Linked DNA regions of Mytilus edulis. The main gene of each other region encodes a partner of the protein of the gene in region 2 in a complex. Links are inferred from orthologs where the notes say so. Each region holds a gene or a part of one and is shown on either strand. Other genes may lie near its edges.

What was found. Proteins that work in one complex are often made in the same cells at the same time.
Region 1: the proteins of KIF-binding protein-like (region 2) and kinesin-like protein KIF18A are in contact, whole or in part, in a cryo-EM structure (PDB 7RSI), measured with the Homo sapiens proteins. The link is inferred for Mytilus edulis from reciprocal best matches to the Homo sapiens genes KIFBP and KIF18A. Residues at the interface, in NP_056449.1 of Homo sapiens: Ser150, Glu151, Tyr212, Tyr213, Gln216, His220, Gln238, Ile251, Asn252, Thr255, Gln258, Asn262, Gly414, Tyr415, Val459, Asp460, Leu461, Asn462, Pro463, Gln464, Leu467; in NP_112494.3 of Homo sapiens: Glu181, Thr183, Gln184, Lys185, Gly186, Arg274, Phe275, Val276, Glu277, Gly278, Thr279, Asn280, Ile281, Arg283, Ser284, Leu285, Leu288, Gly289, Val291, Ile292, Arg314, Lys317, Asp318, Gly322, Asn323.
Region 3: the proteins of KIF-binding protein-like (region 2) and kinesin-like protein KIF15 are in contact, whole or in part, in a cryo-EM structure (PDB 6ZPH), measured with the Homo sapiens proteins. The link is inferred for Mytilus edulis from reciprocal best matches to the Homo sapiens genes KIFBP and KIF15. Residues at the interface, in NP_056449.1 of Homo sapiens: Lys26, Tyr33, Lys36, Ile106, Glu109, Ile147, Ser150, Glu151, Glu153, Thr208, His209, Tyr212, Tyr213, Gln216, Gln219, His220, Phe224, Gln238, Glu248, Trp249, Ile251, Asn252, Thr255, Gln258, Phe259, Asn262, Tyr415, Val416, Thr417, Glu421; in NP_064627.1 of Homo sapiens: Leu187, Glu189, Ile191, Lys192, Lys193, Arg231, Glu232, Arg235, Arg271, Met280, Arg281, Leu282, Lys283, Glu284, Ala285, Gly286, Asn287, Asn289, Arg290, Leu292, Ser293, Gly296, Gln297, Ile299, Ala301, Val303, Asp304, Val305, Gly306, His312.

The regions. Positions count from the first base shown.
Region 1 is NC_092350.1:77,030,864-77,038,274, reverse strand, and holds the start of kinesin-like protein KIF18A, read left to right. Parts: upstream 1-4,404; 5' UTR 4,405-4,581; intron 4,582-7,411.
Region 2 is NC_092346.1:36,842,253-36,849,222, forward strand, and holds the start of KIF-binding protein-like, read left to right. Parts: upstream 1-3,950; 5' UTR 3,951-4,073; coding exon 4,074-4,186; intron 4,187-6,970. Other genes in the region: cytoplasmic dynein 2 light intermediate chain 1-like, read right to left, coding at 443-498, 1,458-1,510, 3,618-3,628. UniProt on the Homo sapiens protein: Activator of KIF1B plus-end-directed microtubule motor activity. Required for organization of axonal microtubules, and axonal outgrowth and maintenance during peripheral and central nervous system development.
Region 3 is NC_092348.1:48,704,824-48,712,632, reverse strand, and holds the start of kinesin-like protein KIF15, read left to right. Parts: upstream 1-4,802; 5' UTR 4,803-4,909; coding exon 4,910-4,916; intron 4,917-7,809. Other genes in the region: uncharacterized protein SCO4629-like, read right to left, coding at 1,721-2,178, 2,503-2,626, 4,499-4,573. UniProt on the Homo sapiens protein: Plus-end directed kinesin-like motor enzyme involved in mitotic spindle assembly.

The DNA.
Region 1 (7,411 bases), on a different chromosome or scaffold from region 2:
ATCTGCTCGTAAAAATTGGATTTCTAAAATATGAGGATTGCTGATTGTACTAAACATTACTAACATAGAAACAATAATAACAATATTTCCTAAAAAAAACCCACAATTGGTGTATTTCTGAATACTTACTACATTAACATATAGTGTTATTAAAAATGTACCAATAGATGGTTTGCAACTTTGATTTCAAAACTTTTGAGTAATTATTCAAAAACGAATTAGGACTTTTTTACCAAAACCAAATTATTGCGGAAGTATTTCCTTATATTAGCTTTAAAATACATATTATCTTTAGTATAGTTAAATTGATTGATGGGTGTAACAATTCTTGAATATCAATACTGGAGCAGTTATTTCCAGATCTGGTATACATTTTTAATGAACTCTGAGACAATGCAGAGCTTGACACATTGTATAGACACCTGACTTGAAGTGATGCTCTATATTGGATGTATGTTGGCTGTGTCACTTGTTGCTGTCTAATTGACGTTTACCCACACATTGGCGTATAGACCGGCGTGCACAAAGACAAGACAAGACAATTTTATTCTTTAAAACCACTGTATACACATTGGTACAAAGAATGAAATAATAATACATAGTATACAAAATAAATTGCGTACAGAGAAAATTGATAAAGTCCGTTTACCTTAGTTGCACGTCAGGGGAACGCTTTAGCAATCGTTAAACGTGCGTTGCATACGTTTGAAGTACGTCGAAATGCAGAGATATACACTTGGTTCAACGCTAAAACTCCAAGAAATCAGCCCAAGCGTTTGCCAAGCGTTAATACATGTACGCCACAAACGCGTTTCAACGCTACAGATAAGTTTGAGACACGTTTAGGGCACGTGTATACAAGATAGTTCGGCTCTAACTAAAACGTATGCGGGTATGTTTGTAACAAACACCCCATAATTAAACGTCCCAGACACGCCGAAAGCAAAGATTATCGTCCCAGATACGACCGGGACGCGTTTCAAAAACGTTACTTTTAAGGTGGTACCCAACGCTTTCACTTAAATTAATTTGGCTCATTTAATTTTCATAAAATTTTGACAAAGTATTTACTCTAACCCTTTGACAAAAAGATAAAAAAAAATTAAAATTTGAACCAACCGTTTTGTCAGAAAAATTACACTGGTTATATAGCAATTTGACAAACACCAATTTTGATCAATGAGAAGCTTAATATTCCTCTTACAGCACACCATAATTACAACGTTTAGGCCAGTGACTTTACAGAGTTATCCCCCTGTAGTGTTAGGTACCACCTTAAAGAGACTTTTTTTTCTTCGTAGCGTGCACTCCATTTACGTTAGACAAACGCCTGACATACGCCAAATATGTTACTTGAAAGCCCGATAAACGCTTATGTACGTTATTCGTGCGTCTAATGCACGCTTAAAGTTCGTTCATCATACCTTGCCTTACAATAGTTACTCAAAGTCGTTTGAATTCTACTTTTTTTTATTTCCTGCTGAAATATAAAAAAGAGAGCTAATTATATCCTAGACACATAGTAAATGAAAACATTACATCAGGTTATTTTAAATCAAAAAGTACATTAATCCATAGTGTTAATGAATGTAATGTGTTTGTAACTGCTGTGAAATATATATTTTGTGACTTAATTTAATTTCAATTTGGCATTCAAAATGTGCTAAAATGGGATTTATTCTATATTTTGGAATGAAAGCATTTTACATAATTTGGATTATTTCTCAAATTATAAATATTCTATTTACCAATTTAACGTTTTTCATTTCAAGATTAACATGATTAAAGAAACTTGTTATAGTTCAAATTTTAAATAAATTTTTCGCGAAAAAATGTTGTAACACTCGAAAACAAAGAAAGATCAATATTCGGTCGAACAAACTGAGAACCACACCAGACATTTAAACCTTCTGCATGTGTAAATTATATAAAATGTGTAAATTTCTTCATGTGTATATTGGATCTATGTATAGCTTTGTAAAACACAAATCAATAATACACAACAAACAACACTCAGCTTTATACATGTTATATAAATTAGTAAAACCTAAATTGAATAAAAAAGAACGACTTACCTTTTGTCGAGTAGAAGTAGTTAAAATGTGTTCTTAGATTCATTCGGTTGATTAACAGTACCTTCATCATCAACAAGTAATAGCTTTTCTAAAAAGCTAGCCGTCTCTTAGCTGAAAAGAGCTGAAAGTGTTTGAAAATTATAAAAGGCTAATACACTTTTTCTAATTTACCAAGATTTTTTTGGATAATGTATCAACACTGGAATGGTAGGGGTGATGTCTTAACTCGTGCCTTGATCGTTTGTATCTTTTTATCGTTTTAGTCTAAACAGATATGAGGGGAGCAAGGTGTTTAACTGTTATGCTGTTATGGGGCAATTTAATTCTTTGTTATCTGTTATTCTGAAAATATATTTGCTGTTAGATGTTATTGTCTTATTCTTTGTTAGCTGTAATATGGACACTAACTATGTTATAAATTGTTGTATGTCAAAATTACACGAAAAACATGTTGATAATTGGCATGCTGTTTTACATTCTGATAAATCTGTATCGGGCAGAGGTACTTACAGACTGTTTCAGGAAAATTTTGAACCGGAAGAATACTCCAAATAGCTTTACCCTTCAGTCACAGAAGTGCTTTGGCCAAATTTAGATGTGGTGTTGCTCCCCTAAAAATTGAAACAGGGAGATATGAAAATATTGTTTTAGAAAGTAGAGTGTGCCATATATGTGACGTTTTTATTGAAGATGAAGCGCATGTTTTATTAAGATGCCCCCTTTATGACGATTTTAGAAACCATTTATATTATGTTGCTGAAACTTTTAATGATAATTTTAATACTTTAGATGATAATCAAAAGTTAGTGTTTTTATTCTCAGATGTAAATATGATACGTGTGTGTGTCAAAACCTGTCATTTGATTTTAAAAATACGTAGAAATTTTAGATATTGTAAATAGTATTTATTTCATATTGTGTATTATATCTATGCATTTTAATACTCTCTTATAATTCTGTCTAGCCCCCTCCCCGGCTGAAGGCCCCCAGACGCTCTGAGAAAAATAATGCAAGATCATGCACTCTGAGCTATTTTTTCAACAATATTCTGGTCTCATAGCAATAACAAAAATTCATTGTATTTAAGACTTTTATGTTTTAGTGATAACATTAAAAAAAGATCGATATATATATGATGGATAGAGCAAAAATCGTAATTCTCATAATCCTTAATACCGATTCTGTCTGTCTTGTATTGACAATTTGTACTTAGACTTTGGTGATTTTTTTATGACTAGATTTAAATATAGTGACAGTGCAGTATTATACTTTAAGTACTATAAAAAAGAAGATGTGGTATGATTGCCAATGAGACAACTATCCACAAAAGACCAAAATGACACAAACATTAACAACTATAGGTCACCGTACTAGTACTGTTAAAGTCGACACTAGGGACCATCTTGACCTTGTTTTACGATATTAATGATTCTTTTATTGTTGGAGACCATCCAGTAACTATCAAGATGAAGAACAGGAATTAAACTTTAACAATTGATCGTTCGTATTTTTCTATACATTGACTTTGTGTGCGATTAGGTTCCGTGCACGTGTACTCAATATTCCTTTTTTTCTGTTAAAAGAGTCTGAACATGACTTAATACAAGGGTAACCCTTCAATGTAAAAGGTCATATGGCAATACATTGTTGTTGGGTTATTTTCAATTTTTTTGATACCGTGGAATTGGTGACCATATTTCAATTTAAACCATGTCAGCTTTCTAGTTTTACCTACGAAAAAAGCCAGTTTTGTTCTCTTTTATATCAAGTTCAATTCTCCATGCAGAAACGGCGATTCATTTCTGTGTCTTGTAGCATCGTATAGTCTTAAAATATTTTCTCGCACATTGTCTGGACATCGGTTGGCATGCAACATTGCAAAACCACACGTTTACAAATGAAAATCAACACTCAGACTAAAGTCATTAAGTAGGACAATAAATTAACAAAAGACAAACCCGGGACATAGAAGTACAAACAATAGACCATCAACTCTGATAACTAAAAGTAAAATAGAAACATGGATCACGAAAAACATGAAGGGGCTACACCAGAGAGTGAAGAAAACTGGCTTCTTGCAAGACACTTTCCGTCAAAAAAATTTGACAAAATATCTTTTTGTGTAGTTTTTTTGTTGTTGTTTTTTTTGAAATTTCAAACATGAGGCTTTTGCCTCATTTGCCTCAATGTAGTTACGGCCCTGTATTTTTACTTTCACAATTAGCCAACTTGCAGTAAGCAATGTAAATGCCTCAAAAAAATAATTCCGAATATTCTAGGTAGTGTCGAAATTGATTTTGTTTTAGTTTTGAAATAAGCCAATCAGATTACTCGTTTCATGAGGCGTGGGGTTTTTAAACGGAAGATGCTAAAGATGTCAACAAACATATTTTCCCCAGTTTACGAATAATAATACCCGAGTACCTTTATTGTAAAGATAAAAAGTGTATGCAATCATAGATGTGAACAATACGTGAGTTATAAGAGGATCGGAGTAATCTAAAGGGTTATAATTTGCAGATAAAACATAATTTTGTTCTTCTGTCGTTCTGAACAGGTCAGGAATAACCACCAATTGGTGGATTATACCTGAATTGACGTATATTAAATCCACCAATTGACATATAATGGTATAGAACAATTGGTGTATAATTCTTTGTTTTTCCAAAACAAATTATTCCACCAAAATGGAGCATTTTTCTTAAAACCGTATAATGTATGGTATGAAAACTTGTCAAACATTCCTAGTTTAGTATTGTAACATAACATATTGCATTTAATCAATAATTATATTTGAAGTTTCTTCTATTGTTATCTTGTCAATTCTTGATTGGCAAATTTACCTGTCTGCAGTCATATGATCACAGTACAACTCCAGAGGTGAATGGAGCTCTTTGTTAATATGTAACTTTCATTATCGCTATTTTGTGCATTTTTCTTTTGATCTTTTTTGTGATAATTCTCATATCATGCTTCTCGCTTGAGATGGAAAAAATATCTCTAGAAACTAAGGAGGCCACGTGGCCATGGTGGCATTGCTAACAAAATTGACATGAAATTGACAACGTTGTCATAGGTAAAATAGCGATAAACAGAGATTATTATTGGTCATCTGAACTCGATTGCTGTACCAGCTCAAGCGAGAAAATCAATCTCGTTGAGATGATCAACGATAATCTATAATTATCAAAAGTCAATCATGGTCAATAGCACAAATGTTTCAACAAAAGAATTGTTATACACATGCATTCTCAAGAGATGCAGCAGGCTTTGACAAAACTGAAACTTTGGGGGACTCAATAAGGGTCATGAAATAGGTTGCAAGTTGCAAAATCATGCTCCTATCTCACACTAGCATTTAATTACAAAAAACTTGCATTATACATCAATTGGTCTATACCAATATACCCCAATTGGTGGATTACGAAGCGTGGATTATACGTCAATTGAGGTATAATCCACCAATTGGTGGTTATTCCTGACCTGCTGAAGTTTTGTCATGTCTGAGGCCTGTGGGGGTCTCACTAATTAGCGACAAGTAGGTACGGAAAGTGATTTTTTTTAAATCAACTGATCTAAGAAAACTTGACCTCATTTTAAAGGCATTGTGAAGACATTTTCAAAACAGTTTCACTTTTATCAATACACATAATAATAACGAAGAAATAGAAAATTTTCAAAATGGTATTTTTTTACTATTCTGGAAAAACTGTTTCCTCTCTTTAAAAAATAATAAAATATATTTTTTTAATCATTTGGGTCATATCTTTGTTTATTTTGCTTCTTTTACATCTTGTTAGTCAATTTCAATCCTCCATATTAGTTTTTTGGTCAAAATAGAAGCATAAAGCATGAAAATGTCAACCACTCATCAGATTCTATCGTCCAAAGTCATATAACATGACGATACCTTTATACATTCCTTTTTTCAGAGCATCAGTTGGTATATTGAAAATGAAAAGTAAAACTTTATAAACATTTGAATGTAAAGAAACAAAATATAAATATGGATATTACTCTTTATATACAAATGTATATGTTAGTGTGTGTGTATAAAAAAGAAGATGTGGTATGATTGCCAATGAGACAACTCTCCACAAGAGACCAAATGACACAGAAATTAACAACTATAGGTCACCATACGGCCTTCAACAATGAGCAAAGCCCATACTGCATAGTCAGCTATAAAAGGCCCCGAAATGACAAATGTAAAACAATTCAAACCAGAAAACTAACGGCCTAATTTATGTAAAAAAAAAAATGAACGAAAAACAAATATTTAACACATCAACAAACGAAAACCACTGAATTACAGGCTCCTGACTTTGGACACGCACGTACATTGTACATACAGAATGTGGTGGGATTTAACATGTTAGTGGGCGCCCAATCCTCCCCATGACCTCACCTGTGACAGTACAACATAAGAACGAACTATAAAAATCAGTTGTACCATGAGAGACAAGAAAAGTTTTGAAATATGTCATCTGTCTTTGTATAGTCATGATAGTTTTAGAATGTTCCCTTTTCATTAACATTCTATTTAATGAAATATTCTTATTCTTATATAGCATGTATAGTGAATGCTTATAAATAAAAATAAACAACAACCTTCTAACAATTATTCTACAGGACTAAAATACCTGTTGCACTGAAAAACAATGAAAATAATATAACATTATTTTTATTCGAGAAATTTAACAAAATAATTATGTCAGATCACTGTAAATACTTGTATGTATAAAAGTAAAATAAATTCATATCTGTATATCAGTTATAATATTTATACAGGGAAATCTGTAAACCATTCTCATTCAGGACTGAAGTTCAAAATGCATTGAATGTGAATAGCATTCAAAGTTAACTGCCGCTACTGCATGGATTCCTATGTATGTTTTTAGTTGAACATGTTGAAAATACATATATTGATTGTTAAAACCACATTATTCAGTATCCTTACTATCTCGTGTGCAATGACAAGTGGTTGAACTATCATGACTATCTTTAAATCGCAATAAACTGGCTGTATAATGCACGGCTGATTTCCAATCAAAACTAAACCAAAAGTTGTCCATGCAAGGGAAATAACTCTGTAAACACAAAAAGGAGGGTTATTTATAAAAAATAATTTTGATATGAACACAGCTGTCTAGATTTATTTATTGGACCTAATTATTTAATTAATATATTAAACTTAATAAAAAAGTACATTTTATGGCTGTATAACGTTCCCTTGTATTTTTTTTGAAACGAATGTAACTTCCAAACCCTTGTTTGTACATCAAATATTTCACCGTATTCCCGAAAATTATAATATACAGAATTATGAATATTCA
Region 2 (6,970 bases):
AACAAAAACAAAAGTTACTTTTGAACCATATCTCCAAACAAACATAAACTAAAAAGTGACAAACATTAACCATATGATTCACTCTCAAATATATATCTCTCTGTATATCAGATCATTCAAAGTCACTTGTGTTTCACTGTGATTCAGTCAACACTCAACACTAATGTATACTGTACTAGTGATGTCACAGGTGGAAAATTTCAAATGTATGATAGTTCTTCTCTATCAAAACATTTACTGGTACATCATAAAATTGAGAATGGAAATGGAGAATGAGTCAAAGATACAACAACCCAACCAAAGAGCGGAAAACAGCCAAAGGCCAACAATGGGTCTTCAATACAGCAAGAACATTTCACACCCGGAGGTGAAAAACATTACAAACCTTCCATTCAATATTTCTCAAAAAGACTCAAAAGAATATCAACAGAAAAATACTCACTGAATTTTTTGCTCCTACAATAAACACTGATGATTCTTCTCCAGTAGCACCTTCAGCTAAAATGACAACATATAATTTTCCAGAGGTTTCAAAATTCATTGCTATTTTATTTACTTTTTAAATTGAGATGAAGATTTATTTTTATTTTGAGGTCATCAACTCTCCATAGAATAACTTTATTAAACCACGTGGCAATGACCTTCTAGTCAGAATTTTGAGAATGGGGTATGTCCTCGCAAAATTTTAATGAATTTTATTAAAATCATTTAGGTGTAAATATTCTTCATTGTATGTGCTAAGGGTTGTCTAATACTTGCAGTGATGCAGTGAATTTTTTTTTGCTCCATGCTGAAGGTCTCAATGTGACTATCAGATGAAGAACAACAATAAAAGCGCTGTTCCTTTGCTATGTGTTTTTTTCATTGATTTAAATTTTGTGTCATAGATGGATACCAGTTCACATATCTTTTCTTTTCTGTATTGTATCCATAATCTCAACATTACATTATAGAGAATAAATTGCTTCGCTGAGCGCAGCTGAATACAACCGCAGAGGTACAGCCCTGAACAGTTGGGGCAAAAATGGAGACAATACTCACGCTTGATACAGGTCTGAATTTGGATTGTAATTAAATATTTGACACACAATAGGTTTCTGACACAGAATAACTGTAGTCAATGAGCTTAGAATTGGTTATATGGTTTGAATTATTTATATATTTTTTTACATGTCCAAAACCTGACATTTCTTTTTACATATTTTACAAGTAGTGTAAGGGAGGTTAATCAAAACATAGACAACATTGTATTTTAAATGTAATTGGATTACCTCCCTTACACTGGTTTTAAATTGTCTTAATTGTCCATTAACCAGAAAAACTAGTTTTCCCTCTTTTTTTGCCCCTAATTTCTAATTTGTTTGAGCCATAACCTCCCAAAGTCAATCCTAACATGATATAGTATTATACGACGCAAAAATTGTTTTGCGGTCGTATAATAAATACTGATATCATACCTTTACTTTCATTTGATTCCTGTATTGCAACATCCCATAAAGATTTTTCTAGTCTGAAAGCAAAGATTTTTTTTTCCATTAAAATATCTGTAACTATAGATCATATATATGCATTTTTAGCACTACAAATTTTGTATTGGTTTTCTGTATTTCTTGTCCTCTGTTTAATGTATTCACCACTTGTCTATCATGCTTTGACAATTTAGAGTTTATAATAGTATGTAGGAACTTTGATTAAAAATAGTCTAGATAAGTTTATATAATATCTATTTTTAAGTTATCCTTTGTTTTTTATACATCTTTCTTGGCAAACAGTTACTGTATTATACCATGTATACCAAGACAGGAGGCTTTGTAACTCCAAAGCCTGCATTTCTCACCTGGCTATCATTATTTTAGTGTTACCTTATCAGAAAATACAACTAATCTAGGGACCTTATTGTTATTTGGGATTCTGCAACACTTAAAATTTTGACATTGTGCAACAATCTCTTTTCCTAATACACCTTATCGCTAATCCTGGCTGACCCGGCTGCTTGAACTTTTGACGCATACAACAATCACTTTTCCATTGTGGCGTCAGATATTTTGTTTTATGACGTCAACTTTTTACAGGAACCCGTGTGATATCCAGTAATGGCGGACAAAAAAGCGATAAGGTGTATTGTGAAACAGTATATCGAATATCAATATATATATGTTCCTAGTGGCATCAGACAATTTCTATTGTGACATCAAAATTTTAAGGTGACCAAGTTGTGATGTCCAGTAATATGATTAATATGGGACAATGTCCCCAATTACGGTAGAAAAATCAATTAAAAAAAAAAAAAAATCGGGAAAATTTCCTGAATTTTTCATTCTACTAATGAACTCAAAATCGTTAACTTTTTTTTTCAGATCTACTTCCGTTTCCAGTTTCTTCCGTTTCCGATCTTGTTTGCATGAGACTTTGAATAAAATATATATTTATCAACATATCAACAAAAATATAGGAAGGAATTCAACACCTAATCATTTTTAATAATTGTTTGATATGAAAAAACATTACCTGGATAACAGCGTTTCTTTGTTTACATTGAATATGACGTCATAACTTAAATAACGTCACAACTAAATCCCTAACAACAGAACCAATATTGGAAACATTATGGTATTTCCGTTTCTTTTATCAACATGTTTGAATTCAAAAAAAAAAATACAGACTTCGTCCCCATTCACAGGTTATATGCCTGCCTTATATTAATGGCAGACAAATAGCGATAAGTAGAATGAAGTACCGGTACATGTACGGTGTAGTCTGGTGTATCAGTGCACCTAAGACTTATAACTTCACTTTATCATGTTTATCAAAATGATAAAACCTTGCATTGGATAATATTGTGTGAAACAATTCATTACATACTTTAATTTCATAAAATCTTCTGTATGTATGGTTTCACCTTTTTAACATTTTGAGTAAAGTGTGTCCAAAATTTGGGAAACCCCTGTTTTGAGAGTTCTTCAAATAAATAAATTTGGTGTATATACTGTCTTCTGATTGGTTAAAATTTTTAGTTTTATTATTAATGTTGTCAATTTTGAAGACGACACGCCCACTCTGACGTTGTTAATATATATAATATAAAAAGTTCTTTGAGCCTTATTTTTGATAGAAATTTATTTATAATGAATGGCAATAATCTATTGCGGATTATTCAATGTGAAGAGTCAAAAATTAGTTTTATGGTTCAATAAATTCAAAGTAAATAATAGCCATTCATTAAATGTTTATTCTAATGCAACATCGTTTGTAACGTTCATTTTGATTGGATAACGTCACTTATTTACATGGCATCAATTGTCAATTGATGCTATGGGACGTACGCGCAAGGGCAGACGGCATATGACAGATTTTAAATACATGTTTTAACGTTGTTTTCTGTTTTCAGCTAACGCGTCGCCAGTAAACTTGATTTGCGACCATCAAATCCCAAATTGATGCCGCCGGAGCTTAATATACAATACAGTTATCTCCTAAGTGATCAATTTCTTACTGTTACTCAGTGTTAGAGATATGAAGGTTGATTTTTTGTGGTTTTCAAAAGGCTGAACTCTGTAACAGAATCTTTCATGAAATTGACAGAAATTAAAAGGTGTCATGGAAGAAGAAATTCTAACCCTTTTGACATTTCTGATAGTAGATGTAAATATTCAGTGGAATGTTACTGGTTCTGTTTAGGATTTTAAACCAGTGTATTGTTTATGGTAAATGTGATAACCTAAAATTAAAAAATAAATAATGAACACAACGTACCATTTAAAAGTTTTTATTGCACAATGAAATAAGTCATTAAGTAAATAAAAGAACAAAATACCACAGAGATAATTCTGAACCTTTTTTTCTTCTTCAAAAAATATATTTTCTTGTCGGTAAAACTATTTATTTCCTTGCGGATAATCTATTCGGAAAATATTCTCACTTTAACCGGTACCGGTCTGTTACTATGACTGCTGGTTCCAGATTTATTTTCGCTCAGTGCGTTGGCTCAACCAACAATAAATAAGATCCAAACCAGTAACTGAAAAATTTAGCATATTTTATTCTGGAACAATCACTTTCGCTACACTTTCACCATGTCTAAAGCCTGGCAAGATTTCTTGAGTAGTGAAGGATTTGAACGTATCGACAGTGCAACGAAGCTGTCAGATGAGGACTTAAACGACGATCCAGAAGATGATCCATACAGGTAAATAGCCTAGCTTCATGCATCCATCTCAACCGACACTGTCAGTGAGTGTCACTGGAAGACTCTGCCAGTGACAGTGTCGGTTGAGATGGATGCATGTGCCAGACATAAATGTATGCCTCGATTTATGCACATGCACTTGTTTCATTTGATGGTAGAGGTCTTCCTTTTCCGTTTCACATAAAACAAGTGCCAGTGCATTTTTTGAATTTTTTTTAGAAGACCTACAATGACCTACAATTACATGTATTTATAATTTAAAGTCAGTTGTAAGTGTATATAGGAGAGTGTTAATGCCCTTTACCGTCAGGCGTCAAACGGTCATTACTGGCTACGGTTAATGTCAAATTGTTTAACTTTTTACCGTGATTCGTCAAATGTCTCAAAAATAATTACGTTACCATTATTTTGGGGGGAAAAATAGCGTGATTTGTCAAATTCCGCTGATTGTTATATCGTCTAAAAGAAAGTGTACATTTTATTGTCATGCACTAAAAATTATCGTTAACATCATTTGGCAAGAATTTTTACCGTTATACGTCATGAAGGTATCCCCATTACTATCCTCATATAGGGTATAGTAGACTTCCACAAAAGAATTTGGTCAGTTCGCCTACATTCGTGCCCTTTCATGTTCACCCCCTTTCACTTTCGCACCCTAGACATTTGCAACCAAAGTCTGTTCGCTCCCTAAATGTTTGCACTTTTTTTTATATAATTTTGTAATCAAGTTTTTGTGCCTTTGGCGCAAGTCATGTTTCCATGGTTAGTGTATTGCTATAGACATTTTTTTTTTCATTGTTTCAAAATAAAGTCATGTAAGTGAAAATCTGACAATGTTTTGGTTTTTTTTTGTGTTGAATAAATAACTATGTTTTGGTTTAAATAGTGCATTGCTATACACAAAAAAAATCATTGTTTCTAATATAAATAAAGTGGGAACAAACATGACAAAGGGATCAAGCTGTTCAAAAATATGTTTTATTCATACTACATTTTACTTACACAATGTAACTAAATACATGCAGTATTTACTTCAAAGCAGGCTAAAACAACAACCAGATTTTCAAACACACAATAATAATACCTTTGGCTGTGTATGAATAGCAATTATCAGCAATCATACATAATTAACCTTGAATAATTAATCATCAAATCAATAATAAAAAAAAGAAAAAAAACACATATTTCACATAATAATTCCTAAATTTTAATTTTGGTAGAATAAATTTGTACATGTATAAAAAAAAATCTAATAATGCAACTGGAATTTGAATAAGAATTGGGTCGAAAGTTTATGGGGCGAACATGTGGGATGTGAAAGTGTATTGGGCGCAAATGGACCTGATACAGCTACACCATGTACACAGTGACTATACTATTCAGTTAATACTATACATTACATTGTTACGTGTATATTCAAATCAACCCTCGTTCTTGGTGCCACGAGAAACACTTGTGACTATACAAGGACCTATTCATAACATTAACTGTATTGTTTTCAAATTAAACATTCACAAAATGTAAAAGATTATATACTTTAATAATACTAATATTGCTCTTCAGTAATGAACAGGTGCTTGCATGAATTAAAGGCAGAGGCTATTTTGTAGGCACTGATTAAAATATCTAAATTCAAGCTGCAGAAATGGCTATTTTACTGGCACCAGCAATAAAATAATAACTGTGTTATTTGCCTGTACTTTGTAAAGAGGAAATTTGATTTTGCTTTTGAAAAGTTCTATGAAAATGTGCACTGTCAACTTAAAAGAATTAAATAATTACTGATACACCAGTATTTCAATAAGAAAACAGCCAGGAACATATAAACAGATATACTGACATATACTGTTCCCAGAAACAGCTAATAATATTTGAGATACAAAAATGTACATATAATTGTTTAAAAACATTTATCAGTCAAAGTTAAAAGAAAAAAAATCATAAAGAGCATCCCATTTGTTGCAATGAAATTGTATCAAACCATGTACATGCAGCTGAAATAATTTCGAAAATCAGTCACACACTCTATATAATGCTACATGTATGCATAAGAATTAAAAAAAGGTTTTTTTCTTTATTTTATAAAAAAAAATATACATGTTAAAAATTTCAGTGCATCAACAATTTAATAAAAAATATAAAAAAGTCAACCACAGACATGTACAAAAATGTTTGAATTCAACTAACTTGCTTTTGAAATAATAGTCAGTTCTTTGAAATGTATATATGTCATGTATGTGTAAACAAAATTATAAACCATTTCTATAGAAAAAAGCTATTTTAATTTGACTTCTTGAATTTAGATATTTAATCAGAGCCAGCAAAATTTGAAATTGTTATTTTATTTTGCTGATGCGGGCAAAATAGCCACAGCCTAAATTAAAAGTTAACACCAAAAGTTATTTAAATAAAGAACTAATATCCATTGTAAAAATCAATTCACAACCAAAGTATTGCCATGTGGTATAAATTCATAACCCCATATTACTCTATAGTATATAAGTTCAAGGTCATCTAATTAGCAAACCTGACATTTATATGTATGAAGTACACAATCAAAAAGCTGTAACAGAAACTACATACATTTTTGTCGAGCCTTCGACTTTATTCGAAAAAGCGAGACTAAGCGATCCTACATTCCCTCGGCGTCGTCGGCGGCGGCGTCCACAAATATTCACTCTGTGGTTAAAGTTTTTGAAATTTTAATAACTTTCTTAAACTATACTGAATTTCTACCAAACTTGGACAGAAGCTTGTTTATGATCATAAGAAAGTATCCAG
Region 3 (7,809 bases), on a different chromosome or scaffold from region 2:
TTTCTGTGTTGTTTGTAGTGCTTATATTATTTACCTGTGTTGAATTTACAACAAGTTTATCAAATCTCGTCTCTAACTGACCTTTTAGCTTTACGGATATTGTGCACGACGGTTGCCACTAGGGGAGCAGAAACTGGCCACTCTCGTTTTTAACAGTCAAAGTCGTGTTATTGTGGATTTTTTTTTTTTGGTCCATGATATTGCTGTAATGTAAGTTTATCTCTTGGTATCTGCACTCTCTTTTGCAAAAATCCCAGGAGGGGCTGGATTTTTTTAAGGGGGTGGGGGGGGGGGGTGTTCATTTCTGTGATCTTTATTTTTTAGGCCATTTTTCTCTATTCTTAATACTTTTTGTAAATTCATTATTCTCTATTCTCTTTTCTTTCTTTTATTAGTTACTTTTCTCTCTTCTTAATACTTTTTGTAAATTCATTATTCTCTATTCTCTTTTCTTTCTTTTATTAGTTACTTTTCTCTCTTCTTAATACTTTTTGTAAATTCATTATTCTCTATTCTCTTTTCTTTCTTTTATTAGTTACTTTTCTCTCTTCTTTATTTTTTTGTCCAATACTCTCTATTCTGTAAACCTCCATATTGAACTAGAAGACGACACTTAACTGCATGTGTCAAATCAAAGAAACAGAAATTCCGAGGAAGTAAACAACAATCATTGAAAAAACAGGTAGTCGAATATGGTCACAAAATAAATTTGTATACGGAAATAGAGACATAGGGTGCCTTATTTGAATACAATTTATGAACAAACTATAAAAATTAGTTGGAAAGGGTCCAACTCATCAAATCGAGACTAAGCACAGAAAAAAACCCAACAAAAGACAAGCAACGATATAAGTGTACTCGCAATCACAGGTCGATCAAAACCGAATAAATAAATAAAAAAAAAAGATATGTAGTATGATTGCCAATGAAGAGTAGATATGGTGTGTGTCACAGTGTATGCAATTGTAGTAAAGACATATATTGTGTGAAAGTCCTAGAGATAGATTGTGTAGAAGTGTAGTGTAGACAGTCGAAAAGTTATGACTGTCAACAGAAATGAAGGAACCATCAATAGCACGAACGTTATCTATGACACCCAACAAAGAGTTTTTTACACCAAAAATAACTTAATTTGTCATGATATTAGCAAGATGCTGTTACGAAGTCCCCATGAATATCTGCCCCGGATGACTTGTCATCAGATGGTTTTAGAGAAGTAGGTCAAAGAAGAAGAAACTTTGTTTGGAAGACTTGAATGCTCAATATAATTAAAAAATAATCTTTGATAGAAGTCAGGGATCTGTTTAAAAGGTTATACATATCAGTTGTTGGACACTTACTGTAAGCCGAGATGAAACGATAGTTGTGGGGTTTGGTTGCGCGCTTACAAATGTGTTTAAAGCAACAAACAACCAATTAATCAGTCTCTTTTGAATTATTTCACATTTGGCATACCTCGCTATACTCATGATATAGGGTTTGTTCATTGTTGAAGACCTTGCGGTGACCTGTTCTTCAAACAGTCAAACCTCATCTAACTATGTTTTAATAAATATATCTATTGAAAAAAGGCGAGTGATAGCTATATGATTTTTTGCTGAAGTTGCCAAATTTGAAAATATGCTCACCAATTCCTCTATTCAGAACGCTATGAAAATACAATAATTCAAACATAAATGATTTAACGAGTTCAAGTGTATATTTTAATAGTTAATTGAAACTAGTATTGTCCAATGGACAACAAGTTCTCTCCAATGTTCCAAACATTATCTGGAATGTCTTGTTCAATCTGAAATCCAAGTTTAGGGTAATTTTTGACACGTTGGAGACAACCAACCATCATTTCCATTATTTTATCCAAATTACCGACATCATCGTTAGGGTATGACATTAAATCTATGGCAGGCGACGTAACACAAACTTTGTCTAACTGATTCATGCCGCCAGGCCACTGCTTAGCAAATGTTGCATATGTTCGTCTCTCCATAAACGGCATCTGAACCAAAATTATTGTTTTAACTGAATCCAGTAGACCAATCTTCTCAAGTATTTTATATGAAAATGTTACATTTTCTCCGGTGTTAGTTGCTTCTTCCTCCAAAAGAATCTTTTCCTCTGGTACACCCTGACTAACGGCAATATCTTTGAATATTTGTGCCTCAGGTTTTAGCCATTTTCCTGCAAAATAAAAATTAATCAAAATATCTCCTATTTGTTCTCAGAAATAAACGCAGAGCGAAAAAATACATTTTCAGTTAGTATTATAGGAATATCATACAAGCTTTCCATGTCCAGAGAATTATAAATGTTTGTCGTTTATAAGGCACATACCCCTTGAATCAAATCTCCACACTTAAAAAAATATATAGAAATGTATAGAATAAAAGCGACTATACAGTAACAACCAGTCCACAAGGCTCTGACCGGTCAATAAACGATATAAGTATACATTTCTTTTTCAATGAGGGAGTACTCGAATGCTACTAAAATATCCAACCTTACCTTTTGTAAGTGTTCCTTCATTCCCAGTAATCATCAACCATTTAGCAAATCCATCTAACCACAATTTTGAAGCATATTCTATTGTCCTTATATCAGGATTCCCGAATACGATAATCAAATCGCTCTAAAAAAGGAAAAAAATCCGCTAAAATCAATCAGTCAAAATGACAATAGAAGAAAATGACAATTTTAATAAAATCTAGAAATAATTTGGCAAGAACAAAATTAGATTTTGAATATTTATTAATCTGAATCAAGTTTTTTTGAATTACAATGGTAAAATTTGATTGCCGATGATCGACATGATCAGTCTGGTTATATAATCATGGACCGTTGAAATTCCTAATATCATTGACAATTAACATTATGTAAAATAACAAGTACACTGACATTAAACTCCTCCTAGAAAAAACCTGATTATTTGGTCATGGTGTTTTACGGTAATGTAAAAGGGGTATTGATCTGTGATGGACTAACGACGGTCAAACACGCAGAGCAGAGCACATAATACGTACTAACTAACAATTAAAGGTCAGAAAAAGGAGAAAATATTAAACAAGGATGTGTTCCTTCTAAATGGCTATAGCGAATGCTTGTACCACTCATTGATAATCAAATGCATTTAACAGAATGATATGTCAAATGGATAACACTAACATTTTTCGGCCGACTACACCAGAGGTGTTTGGAAATGGGCCCGAATCGATTCAGTGAACTAGAAATATACAATTCAGGCTGTTCATCCCATAACGCATGTGATCTTCGTTCAGAAAAAAATAATAGAATAAAGATTAGGTTAGAATAACAGACTTACGGTGACCTATAGTTGTTAATGTTTGTGTCATTTTGGTCTCTTGTGGACAGTTGTCTGATTGGCAACTATACCACATCTTCTTTTTTATATTTTCTTCTGCATGACTCGGCATATATATAACATATAAAACATAGTAAGCTATTATGTGCATCAATCTAACTAAAATATTGATCTCTGATTTCTTTATACTACATATGAAGTATAACGAAATCAAGGATCAATATTTTAATTAGATTGTAATGTGCATATAATATCTATCTGGTTAAACTCTTGTAGTATCATACTTTTAAATCGTGAAATTATTTGATATGCCCCCAAAAAAACCACGAAAATAAAACCCAATGGATTCACATCTTTAGTATCCTAGCATCAGTGGTGAAGTTTCCCTGGAAAATCGATTTGTATATAAACTATAGATTATAAATATCATGAGCAAAAGAGATGGAAAGACAATTGACACTAACATGACTAACTAGGTAAAGTATTTAGCATTTTTAAATCGAAATTGTGAGAAACCAGGGTCAAAGGGGCACTGTCTGAAATAAAAATGAAAATGAAAGATTGACGAGACTCTTCAGTGACTAACCTCAAGACTTAAAGACCACCATGCACATCTTATTTTCAATCTCCCCCTTAACCACTGGAAACTCATATATATATATATATAAGAGGGGGAGGACAGGGGGTACCCTTCTCCCTTCTCCCACCCCTCTTCTCCTTTCTCCTACCCCGGTTCTCCTTTCTCCCATTAGATTAAAACATCTCCTTTTGAGATATTTTTTTTGAAATATTAGATCATTTTTTAAAAGGAGAGATATTTTATTTTTTCTCCTTTCTCCAACTTTTTCTCCTTTCTCCCAGCCTTCCTCTCCTTTCTCCTACACCCTTTCTCCTTTCTCCCACCTCCTTTCTCCTACCCCCTTTCTCCCTGTCTCCCTTACCCCTGTCCTCCCCCTCATATAAGATACTCGGTGGTTCTTCAAGTTTTGTTTGGAGTTAAACTTCGGATACATCTGGCTTTCTAAATGTACCAGCGTCATTTCTTTAAGTTTTATTTCATTCTAGTTTCAATGTATCGTTTGAATCCGTGTTATTACCCACATAAATATTTTATACAAGAAATTATAATTTTTATCAGTCTAAACGACTCTAAATCACATGCTATAATATTTGGAAATTTACCTTTTCGAGTGTATGGTTGAGTTTCAAATAGTTCCATATAACTTCTGCCTGGTTAATTGACTCCTCATTTGGCATTTTACTTTTTTCATTCTTTAAGAAAATGCGTAGTGAAGATGCATGTGATGTTGAATGGAATAAAACGTGACGTTAGGGATATCCTTTCGAATTATGACGTCATGACATTGTGCTATAAATAAAATAGAAAATCCCAATACAAATTTTCGTAAATGACATATTAAATTTCACAATAATAGTTCAAAAATTCAAATACTCACAATAAAATGAATCGGATGATTTTGAATATACATTTATATTTTTAGAATTCATCTTTACGAAACTAATAAATAAATCGGCGCGCCATTTTTAAAAGAGCACAACATTTGCAACGTACACTTTTTGCTTTTTATACAAATGACAGGTAAACAAAATACTTTTTTGAAAAAAAACCTGCATTATTATAAGTAACACCACCATAAAATACAGTTAAACAGTATAAACATTTCCTTATTTGTAAAAAAAATAGATTTCGAAAATCAAGGTAAAATGCCTCAACATTCACAACTCAACACTTGCTGGACTTGTCAACAGACAACACGAAAATCCTACAGAAAACCGACTATATAAGAACTCATCATGCCTATGAAGAGTAGCAAGAGAATGTTTGCACAGAGTAACTTCACTGATCCCTATTTATATTCATTGACTGATTGCAAGTTTTAATACCACAAAAAAAGTCCAAATCCTTGGACCTTTCATTTAATATAAACATAATCATTGATAATGGAAAAGCACTTTACACCCATATTGGCCAATGGCTTAAAACATTATACATAATATACAGTTAACATGTACATGATATATAAAACAATGAAAATAAACAATGCAGACACTTTGAACTATAATCCTTGTCTTTCTTTAAATTAATAGACGTATTTACACTTGTATGCAAATTTGTCCGCCATTACGTAAAATCACACAGGTTCCCGTTAACTTTGACATCATAATCATGATAATTTAAAATATTTGACGTCACAATTTAAAAGTGATTGTTGCTTGACGTCAAAAGGTGATTCGGAGGCAAGATTCAGCTTAATACCAAAAGTGTAAATACGTTTATATATATATAAGAGATTCAAATTATATCAAGGACTGAGTCTCCCTTAGTGACTTTTTTAAAAAGGAGCCTATATTGCAAGTGTCCTGTTTGGTTTCAGGATTGAGGATATGTTTAAATTTATCTATATCATTTAAGGCCAATTAAAATTAATTGATAGATTTTCATTCCCGCCCGCCCCTGTGAAAACGTCCTGCCCCGATTTTTTTTATTTTGCAAAATTTACGATTTCCGCATTGTGTTCATTTCCGTTAACGGTAACCGTCAATAATTTCGTTTCATTCGAACTTCCTGTTTATACAATTTCGGTTTTCATACTTCTTGTTTCGAGTACTTTAAAACGATTATGTTGACAAAATCTGCTGCTCAATGATGACAGAATAATCTACGGAGAATATATAAAGATTACCAGAAGGGCATGAAATATTCGGGTTACGAGTATTAAATACGCTGTGTCCAACGCAAATCGCGGTATGTCTCAAATTGGAAATTTCTTTCATCAGAAAATTGTGGAGTTATGTAATAATACATTGACTTTGTGTAAGCAAATGTGGGCTGTGAAGGATTTCCAAATTTCAAGAATCGTGGAACAAATTGGTAGAAAAAAAAGAGTTCAAAAAGTCGGCAAACATACACATTATGTAATAGAAAACCCTTAGATTTACCTATGGCTATTGTTTTTGTTTAAAAACACAAAATACCATTTACAATGTAATTATATATGTGTCACTTCTTGCATAACTTGAGAATCTTAAAAGCGCCAACTTTACTTTTCCTGGCAACACTTGTTTGAGTGTTCATTTTATTCATAATACTTGTGCTGCATACCATTGCATTTGCATAAGTTTATGGGGACTACAAACCATTGCTTAGAGAGCAAAATAAATTTGGAGTTGGTAGTCAAATGAATAGAGAATTTCTCCATGGTTTTACTGTTTGCTGAAAATATGTTTCTAAAGTAGCAATTGCATGTAGAACAGTCCGCGTTGCAAATCAGAGATGTTTATTCAAGAATTATGTACGATTCTTTATACATGTTTAAACATTTACATGGTATAAGCTAAATTTTGTAATTATATCACTTGCATATATATGAAGTTCATGCCACAAGAAGGTTTCAAATTGAATAAAATTTAAAAAATAAAATCCTCCCACCCGCCCCATTTTTTTCAAAACTTTGGATGAAAATCTACTAATTAATTTTAGTTGGCCTAAGTTATATTTATTTTCATTTAAAAATTCTTTTCTTAATCATTCATTTATTTTACATTTAAAAAAGAAATGAAACTCATCATCTAGTACATCACAATGTTTACATAGTCTTAAATCTCTGGGAATTTTCCAGTATCTACCAGTTTCTATTAACAGTGATTAATAAGCAGTGGTCACTTATTCGAAATTTACGAATTAGTTGTCTATATTCATGATATTTAAAGTTTTGAGAAAGTAGGTATGGTTCAAAGTTATAGCTTTTCTTTATTTTTTTTAAAAGTTGCAGTTTGCTATTCTCTTGTAAATTTAATATTTAATCATTATATAAATTTTCATAGGAGTTTTCTAAATTTTGTTTGTATATTAGCCTATTATTTTTATCCTTATTTTGGTTAACAATTTCTAAATCATTTTGACTTCTGACATGATTTACATATGAGTACCAAGAATAAATGCCTGCATTATGTAAAGTTTTTGCCAAATTTAGTGTCTCTTTTAGTAAGGGGCTAGTTTCTTCCCTTAATAGTCTATTATGGAAAAGAAGAGTTTGTCTTTTTATAAAGCAATCAATAGGGTAGCTGCCTAATTCAGATCGAGCAGCTATATTACAAGAGCATTTTTTTTACTCCTAAAGTTAACTTATTAAATTTATTTAGTACTTTATCAGGTGGACTTTTGTCAATGAAATTAAGAGTATCTACTTTTTTTTATTATTTTTATCTCCTTTTAAATAATTGAAGCTTTATAAAAGGATGAGTATGCATCCATATATCATATTTTAGTTTTACTGAATTAGATGATGAATATATATTCATTTTGTTTCTGCATTAAACATGTAAAGAAAATAAACTTAACAATTAATCCTCAGATGTGAATAGCCCTGATAATTACTTATTTAAACGGTTAAGGTAATTTCCTTCAAAAGTATTTTTTCAAGTATATCACTACAATATTCTTGATGTTTGTGTGAATAATGTTTTGCTGT